Linked DNA regions of Macaca fascicularis. The protein of the gene in region 1 interacts with the protein of each later gene in a pairwise test. Links are inferred from orthologs where the notes say so. Each region holds a gene or a part of one and is shown on either strand. Other genes may lie near its edges.

What was found. The genes of interacting proteins can lie anywhere in the genome.
Region 2: the proteins of TRIM27 (region 1) and TUFT1 interact in binary tests that used the Homo sapiens proteins (3 or more experiments, as listed by UniProt). The two-hybrid records come from large-scale screens. The link is inferred for Macaca fascicularis from reciprocal best matches to the Homo sapiens genes TRIM27 and TUFT1.

The regions. Positions count from the first base shown.
Region 1 is NC_088378.1:144,252,481-144,257,072, forward strand, and holds the start of TRIM27 (zinc finger protein RFP), read left to right. Parts: upstream 1-1,533; 5' UTR 1,534-1,884; coding exon 1,885-2,304; intron 2,305-3,537; coding exon 3,538-3,633; intron 3,634-4,592. UniProt on the Homo sapiens protein: E3 ubiquitin-protein ligase that mediates ubiquitination of various substrates and thereby plays a role in diffent processes including proliferation, innate immunity, apoptosis, immune response or autophagy.
Region 2 is NC_088375.1:109,639,679-109,644,170, reverse strand, and holds part of TUFT1 (tuftelin), read left to right. Parts: intron 1-1,872; exon of another isoform or gene 1,873-1,979; coding exon of another isoform or gene 1,980-1,982; intron 1,983-2,433; coding exon 2,434-2,547; intron 2,548-4,492. UniProt on the Homo sapiens protein: Involved in the structural organization of the epidermis. Involved in the mineralization and structural organization of enamel.

The DNA of each region.
Region 1 (4,592 bases):
CTGTTGTGTGACCTGGCCCAAGTACGCTATGTTTTTCTGGAAATGGGCTAGGGCTATTTGGTACTGGAATTTGAACGACTGGGTACTCAGAGTATGGTTGCAAGGTGGATGTGGGTTTGGGGTTGGCAAGTGCACTTAGTCCCTCAGACTTCTTGTCCCATGGGGAAGAGGACCAGAGGGGAACTCTAAAGTGATGATGTGGGCTGCTTTGCCTATGGAGTAGCCATTCTTTATTCCTTTACTTTCTTAATAAACGTACTTTCACTTTGAAAAAATAAAATAAAAATCAAGTAAGGTCTGGAAGCAGAAGCCCGTATTGCTCAGATAGCAGGACAATATTGAGAAAATCTCAAAGAAAAGCAGGAGACATCAAGCAAGGGATAAGAAAGCAACTTAAAAATGCTGGAGGTCTACTGCATGATAAGACAACGAGTATTGTGGGACTCCAAGACCCTGGGTCACTGTAGGATTCTTAGTCTCTCTATACTTCAGAAAGGAGCAAGCAATTTTTAGTTGCTCCTCAATACAACAACCCTATGTAATGGGCATTTTGTTACTATTTTAATGGATAAACAACCTTATGGTTCAAAAAGTAAAAGATGTAACGAAATCTACTTCTTTACGGCGGTACAGTTATCATCCCCATTTCACACGAGGAGAAACTGAGGTAAATGAATGGTAAACCAACTTGCTTGGGCACAAGTGAGAGGTAGCAGAGCTGGGCTTGTTATTGCCACACAGAAATGTTACCATCTGATAATTAAACCTTTCTTTTTCTAAACAAAACTGCAAGTGCCTACAAATGGGTCTGTTTAATAAAAGGCCTCACCTATCAGGTGGGCTCAGACGGTGACCCTCCTCATCCTCCAGCCTCTTGGGGAAGCCAGATGTCTGCGCTCCCCAGCACCTATATAAAGCCAGCTTTCTTTCTTCTTTTCTTTTTTTTTCAAGACGGAGTCTCGCTCTGTCGCCCAGGCTGGAGTGCAGTGGCGATCTCGGGTCACTGCAACCTCCGCCTCCAGGGTTCAAGCGATTCTGCTGCCTCAGCCTCCTAAGTAGCTGGGACTACAGGCGCCTGCCACCACGCCCGGCTAATTTTTCTATTTTTAGTAGAGATGCGGTTTTACCATGTTGGCCAGGATAGTCTCGATCTCCTGACCTCGTGATCCACCCGCCTCGGCCTCCCAAATGCTGGGATTACAGGCGTGAGCCACTGCGCGCGGCCAAAGCCATCTTTAGCAGGGGCTGAGACCTGGGCACCAAGAAGAAACCCAACTAAACACTAGGGGCCTGGGCCCGGCAGTCGCGGAAGATTGTAGGCCCGGAGCGTGTGGCACCATCTGCTTTTGTGACCAGTCCCCTAGGCTAGAGCTTCGGCGCGACCCGCCCAAGGGAGAGTGGCGGAGCCTCCCAGGCCTTTCTAGAGAAAGCAGCCCGGGCCCCGAGGCCACGAAATCTTGTCACACACTATAAGCGCGGGCCAAGCCCCGCCCCCCGAGCCGCCTCTTCCGCTCGCGCCGGGGTGGGGTCTACGCGGCCGCCGGGATCCGCTCGGACGCGGCCACGTTGTCTTGCGCGCTTTGCGCGCCTGGCCCTGGGATCCTGACCCTTGGCTACCCGTTCCTGCCCCAGTAACGTGGCCGCGAGTCTCTGTGAGCCGGCTGTATTCCCGCACTCGCTCAGGGGGCACAGGCGCAGGGATCGGCCCGGCCACTCTGAGCCTTCGGTGCGCGGGCGCGTCTGGGATACGGGCCCGGGAGGCACCGCCCTCCGTCCGCCCGGTGCCTCCCAGGAACAGCGAACGGGAGAGAGCGCCGGAGAGTTGGGCTCCGTGCAGAGCTCGGCGCCGGGGCCCATGCCCGTGAGCCCCCGCAGGCCCGCGCCATGGCCTCCGGGAGCGTGGCCGAGTGCCTGCAGCAGGAGACCACCTGCCCCGTGTGCCTGCAGTACTTCGCAGAGCCCATGATGCTCGACTGCGGCCATAACATCTGTTGCGCGTGCCTCGCCCGCTGCTGGGGCACGGCAGAGACTAACGTGTCGTGCCCGCAGTGCCGGGAGACCTTCCCGCAGAGGCACATGCGGCCCAACCGGCACCTGGCCAACGTGACCCAGCTGGTGAAGCAGCTGCGCACCGAGCGGCCGTCGGGGCCCGGCGGCGAGATGGGCGTGTGCGAGAAACACCGCGAGCCCCTGAAGCTCTACTGCGAGGAGGACCAGATGCCCATCTGCGTGGTGTGCGACCGCTCCCGCGAGCACCGCGGCCACAGCGTGCTGCCGCTCGAGGAGGCAGTGGAGGGCTTCAAGGTGAGGGCGCGGATCCGGGAGGGCGGGAACGCGAGTCGGACAAAGGGAGGAGAGAGCCAAAGGGGCTTCCCTTTTTCCGCCTAGAAAATGGCTGAGCCGGACGTGTGGTTCACAGCCGTCATTTCCTCTCTGTCCGCTCCAGAGCCTCAGCACTCAGATTTGGAGGAAAACCTGTAGCTGGCGAGGGAGCCAGAAGTCTCCCCACCCCCACTCTCCTTTCTCTGTGTGCCCCCATGTTTCCTGTCTCACGGACACATTGTACACGGAGACATGCTTTTGACAGTATAAAAGAAGTGCATAAAATCGCTTGCACATCGACGAGCTGTAGAGACACATGTACTCTCGTCGGCTGTCAGACAAAACGCAGTCGGACATTAACTGACCGATGCCCATTCCTTGGTCTATAAGCATTTCCCCAGCACTTTCCTGCAATACGTCCTGGTCTAGAAACTCACAGAAAAGAACAGGCTCTTCACTGCTTAAGTCATTTAACCACTCTGAGACTCAGGAGATAACAGTTATGAGGAAGATTATGGAATCATGTGATGCACAGAGCCCTCTGTGAACTGGCACAGCTAAACAGAAACGTGGAAACAAAATATTACATATAAAACAGTTGTAAGGTGACCTTCAAGGAGTCCATGATACTGTGTATTTTCTGTATGTTGAGGGCTTCAGGAATTCATACACAATTATGTCCGTGTTTAAATATGAATACATTCATGTGTAATTAATCACTTAACATTTATGGACCTTTCAGCTATATTCTTTCACTTACTCTGGTGAGAACTCTTGAGTAGGTTGGGAAGATGGTGTTTGCCCATTTCACACATGAGGGAAATAAGAAGTCACTTTCACAGTATGCTTGTGTGGAAGAGCTACAATACAACATAACTCTAAGCCTCCTACTCCAGTCACAGTTCCGCTAAGTCATGCGATATCCTACCAGGGACAGGTAGATGATTCATTGTTTAAGATAGACACAAATAATCCTGACGAGGTAGCTGAGTGGTTGAAGCGACAGGCTGCTAAGATAGACACAAATTGCCAAATGAGTGGCTTGTTGGCCCCTGCGCCCTGAGTCTTTCTCTTGTGGGTGGCAGTGTGGCCTGAGAACAAGTGCCAACTGGATACTTGGCATCAGGTGTGTGGACTCCATGTGTGATTAGAAGTACCATGCTGATGCTAAGGTCTACCTAGTTTTGAACTGCCCATCTGTTTTGCTTTTCTCAGGAGCAAATCCAGAACCAGCTTGACCATTTAAAAAGAGTGAAAGATTTAAAGAAGAGACGTCGGGCCCAAGGGGAACAGGCACGAGCTGAACTCTTGGTAAGGGTTGTTGGAATTCACAGTCGCTTCTGCTGGTGCTCCCCTCTTCTGTAGAGCTGATGTTACTTCCCTTAGACTTGTCCAGCATGTCACCCAGAACCTGTAGGTAGAGGGGGATCAACTGCACATGGCAGTGGGAACTCACCCAGAGAACTAAGAGATTCCCTTTCTTTTGGGGAAAGCGTGGAGGAGCCAAGTTTGGAACCCTTGGAAATCAGACCTGTCAGTATAGTTTAACCTGCTAACTGCGTAGACCAAGGTTGATCCTTGGCAAAGCTGAGATGGGTAAAATTATTGGATACAGTTAGCTTGCGTTGTTACCATTCTTCAGACAAGTGCTAATAGTGGATTTGTGTAAGTCCCACTGTTGCTTCTCTTTGTGTTATTCTCCTTTCTTGACAATGCCTTAATTCTGAATTTTTTGCTCTGCTCTCTTCCTCCAATCTCTCAAGGCCTCGACAAGTGGCTGATGTATTAATTTATGATAGGGGTATATGGGAATTTTTTCTTTTTATTTCCGACAGGGTCTCACTCTGTCACCCAGGCTGGAGTGCAATGGCAAGGTTTCGACTCACTGCAACCTCTGCCTCACATTTCAAGTGATTCTCCCACCTCAGCCTCCCAGGTAGCTGAGGCTACAGGCATGTACCAACACACCCAGCTGATTTTTGTATTTTTAGTAGAGATGGGGTTTCACCATATTGACCAGGCAGGTCTCGAATTCCTGACCTCAAGTGATCCACCTGCCTTGGCCTTCCAAAGTGCTGGGATTACAGGTGTGAGCCACTGCACCTAACTGGGAATTTTGTTTTGAAAAGAAAAAAAAAAACAAGGCAGGGCATGGGGGGGGGGTGGCGGCTCACACCTGTAATCCCAGCACTCTGGGAGGCTGAGGTGGGCGGATCACCTGAGGTCAGGAGTTGAAGACCAGCCTGGCCATGGTGAAACCCCGTCTGTAC
Region 2 (4,492 bases), on another chromosome or scaffold:
GGGACTACAGGCATGAGCCACCACGCCTGGCTAATGTTTGTATTTTTAGTAGAGATGGGGTTTCACCATGTTGGCCAAGCTGGTCTCGAACTCCTGACCTCAGGTGATCCACCCACCTCGGCCTCCCAAAGTGTTAGGATTACAGGCATGAGCCACTGCACCCGGCCACCATGACTGTATTTTTAAAAAGTGTGTTTTTATGTTTTTTTGTGATTATATAATACAAAACATTCATACTGTAGAAAATTTGGAAAATTCAGAAACACAGAAAAGTGAAAGAAGAAAAAAATGTCACTTGTAATCTACTCAGAGAAAAACCACAGTGAAATTTCATCTTTCCCTGAATGCAAATATATATTTATAATATTCACATTGTACAGTATGTGGCATGTCTTTATAATTGTTTTTTTTTTTTGTTTCTTTAGTTGGGTATGTTTTGGCATTTGGTGTTTTTGGCCCTCAGGTATAGGTTGAATCAGACCCACCCATTAGTTCATGGCACATCGTCCTCGTGGGTCCTGTCAAGTCCTCTCACTGGTTTTAGTTTTTGTTTTTTGTTTTTTTTGCCTCTCCACCTCCTGCAAGAGGCACTCACTCTAATGAATTCAATATATGGCTTTAAATATGTCTGTAAAATGTTTCAATATACGTGATGAACTTGTGCTATATCTTCTTCAAGCAGTCCTCCCACCTCAGCCTACCCAGTAGCTTGTTCTTATTTTCCCTGGTACCATGTTTTTTAGGATCTATCTAAATTGCTGTATTAAAATCTAGTTCGCCGGGCGCGGTGGCTCAAGCCTGTAATCCCAGCACTTTGGGAGGCCGAGGCGGGCGGATCACGAGGTCAGGAGATCGAGACCATCCTGGCTAACACGGTGAAACCCCGTCTCTACTAAAAATACAAAAAGAAATTAGCCGGGCGTGGTGGCGGGCGCCTGTAGTCCCAGCTACTCCGGAGGCTGAGGCAGGAGAATGGCGGGAACCCGGGAGGCGGAGCTTGCAGTGAGCCGAGATCGCGCCACTGCACTCCAGTCTGGGCGACAGAGCGAGACTCCGTCTCAAAAAAAAAAAAAAAAAAAATCTAGTTCATTGCTTCTGCCTCTACATGTAGTTTTATAACTTACTTTTTTGCTTCATATTATATCACATGATGAAATAATATTTTCCTGAAAGTTTTCCATGCCATTAAACAGCCTTATGAGAACACTCTTTGAAATAAGTGCATAATAGTTGTGTTCCAGGAGCCTTTTAAAACATTTTCACCTGCCCATTGGCTCAGGTGAGGATTTAGGGAAATTGACTGGATAACTTATGACATCTAGATTTGGAATGCTGTGATTCTTAACCACTTGCTTTAGATGTGAAGCTTGGACTTTCTCCTTCTTTTGAATCACCATATTTGGCAAATACATTGTTGGCAACAAATTACAATAACACCTGGTAATATCTGTTTGGCCTCTTTCTTCTCACAAGCTCAAAGCTGTACCGGATGTTATCTTACCTGGTTTTGAGGCAGCCTGTAAGGCAGGGTGTGGTAGGGAGTGTACTTACTGCCTCACAGATAAAGAAATGAAGGCCCACAGGACTTCATTTCTTCATTGTCACCCACAGGATGATAATGCAGAGACTGGGACCCTGTCTCCCTCCTCCCAGCCGAGAGCTCTGAGCTCTGGTTTGAAGGCGTTGCTGCTTCCCACTGTGCAAGATTGGGAGAGATTTTTCTGTCAAACTCACAGGGAGTTCGTAATCGAAGTGTCTGGTGCCTGTGCAGCAGAGACGGGGGCGAGACCCTACGTGTTAGCTCATCCCTAACCACCAGCCCACGGTTGGGTGTGTCTGGGAGAGACTGAGCAGTTACCTCGATGAGACACCGTTTTCCACATCGAATCAGATTCCTGGACTCATTGCATGCTTTTGCCATAAACCTGTCCATCCATCAGTAACCCTTTATATGCTGCTCTCCGTGCCAAAAGCTGAGAATGGTAAAGGATGTGCTTTTGGACCACTCCCTTTGTGATGGGTGCGACATAGTCCCTGTCCTGTGGGAACTGTAGTCCAAAGGGGAACATGGTCTCTGCTCTCAGACAGTTGTAGGCGGATAGAGGGAAATAGGACACACACGTAGAGACAGCAGCCACATAGTCGCCAAGAAATCAATCAGTGGATACATAAGTGAAATACTACTGAGCATGTCCTAAAATAATTGGGTGTTTTGAGGCTAGCAGGGTTCTTTAGGGTATGAAAGGACAATGTTTCATTGAATAACTCAGAATTCCTGGCTGCCTAAGGTAACTCTCCCCTTGTGTGACGACAGTTCTTTTGTGAGGGTGGTCTGGACGAGATGGTCCAAACCAGTGTGTGCCTGGGAGGGGACTTTTATTACTGAGTCAGAAACTTGATGGCTTCCTCTTCCCTTCCTCGCTCTGGCTGTAGGTGGACACCTGTATAAATGAGGATGTTGAGAGCTTGAGGAAGACTGTGCAGGACTTACTGGCCAAGCTTCAGGAGGCCGAGCGGCAACACCAGTCAGACCGTGTGGCTTTTGAGGTGAGATTTGGGATTTGGGGAGAAGGTACCCTAAGGGATGGGCTACCGAACACAGGTGCCAGTGATGTCTCAGCTTGGACTTCCTGTCTCTCTGGCTGAGTGCCACAAACTGGAAAACAAGACTGTGAAGCCTGGAACGCTTGTCTGCTTCTCCCTCTCCTGGACGTTTATACTGTTTACTGTCCAAGGCCGGCCCATAGTTCAAAGGTCAGCTTGGGATTCTCTGTTCTGATGAATTTGAGGGTGGTGCCCATCTGGGGCAGCCAGTGATTCAGAAGTCATTTCTGTCTGTGTCGTGGTAAGAATCCCTGGGCTCTTGAGACTCTGTGCAGGCAAGGACTGCTGTTGGCATGTCACCCCCGCGTCCCTAGTGTCTGGCGCAATACCTGGTATTAGATAGGCGCTTCATAAACGTGGACTGGATGAGTGACTAAATCTGTGTTGTTGTAGAAAGAACTGCACCCATCGAGTTGGAGGATTTGGGCTCTAGACTCAGCTTTGCAGAGCTTTGTGGTCTAGAATGAGTATCTTTTTTTCACTCTGCCACCAAGCTGGAGTGCAGTGGCACAATCTTGGCTCACTGCAAGTTTCGCCTCCCAGGTTCAAGCGATTCTCCTGCCTCAGCCTCCCAAGTAGCTGGGATTACAGGCACGTGCCACCATGCCCAGCTAATTTTTGTGTTTTTATTAGAGACGGGGTTTCACCATGTTGGCCAGGCTGGTCTCGATCTCCTGACCTTGTGATCCACCTGCCTCAGCCTCCCAAAGTGCTGGGATTACAGGCGTGAGCCACCGCGCCCGGCCTGGAATGAGTATATTAATTACTGTTATAGTACAGAAGTCTATAAATGGAGAGTAAAGCCCCCTACTATATGTGAGGTCTTCCATGTTTTCTAGAAAATTCTTTGAGTATAAAACAAGGTACATGGGCAGTTTCCTTCCTCCCTTCCTCCCTTCTCTTCCCTTCCCTTCCCTCCCCTTCCCTCCCCTCCCCTCCCCTCCCTTCCCCTCCCCTCTCCTCCCCTCCCTTCCTTTCCTTTCCTTTCTTGACAGGGTCCCACTCTGTTGCCAGGCTTGAGTGCAGTGGCCCAATCTTGGCTCAATGCAACCTTCCCTCCCCTCCCCTCCCCTCCCCTCCCCTCCCCTCCCCTCCCCTCCCCTCCCCTCCCTTCCTTTCCTTTCCTTTCCTTTCTTGACAGGGTCCCACTCTGTTGCCAGGCTTGAGTGCAGTGGCACAATCTTGGCTCAATGCAACCTCCACCTCCCAGACTCAAGCCATCTCCCACCTCAGCCTCCTGAGTAGTTGGGACAACAGGTGCACACCACCATGCTTGTCTAATTTTTGTGCCTTTTGTAGAGACAGGGTCTTGTCATGTTGTCCAGGCTGGTCTCAAACTCCTAGGCTCAAGCAGTCTGCGTGCCTCGGCCTCCCAAAGTGTGGGGATTACAGGCATGAGCCACCACACCTGGCCCATGGGCAGTTTTCCAACTGCTCTGTGTGAAGTTAACCATTTGTTACCTGCTTTTGTTCTTCCACAAGTAACATATTCTTTGTGTCATAAATATGTTATGATAGGGTTATATCCTGCATAGGCATGCTGGGAGCTGGTAAAAAGAGAAACGCCAGCCTGAACTCTTCATTTTCATGGAACTGAGGAGGAGAATTTTTGAGAGGAGGCTTGGGGGTGAGGAGGAAGGGCACCAAGGATGATAAACTGTGTTAGCCGAAGTCTTATTAGAACAAGTAGTTTAACCTCTCTGAGCATCTGTTTCAACTTTTGGAAAAAGGGTTAATGAAATACACCTTACAAGTTTGTTGTGTAGATCGAGTGAGGTAATATATGTGAGGGCACTTGATTATTCTGAAGGGTTTTAGAAATATAAAATTGTCTATATTTTTCTTAGCAATCAGTTTAACAAGGAGATTTTCCTATTGTAAATAGCTT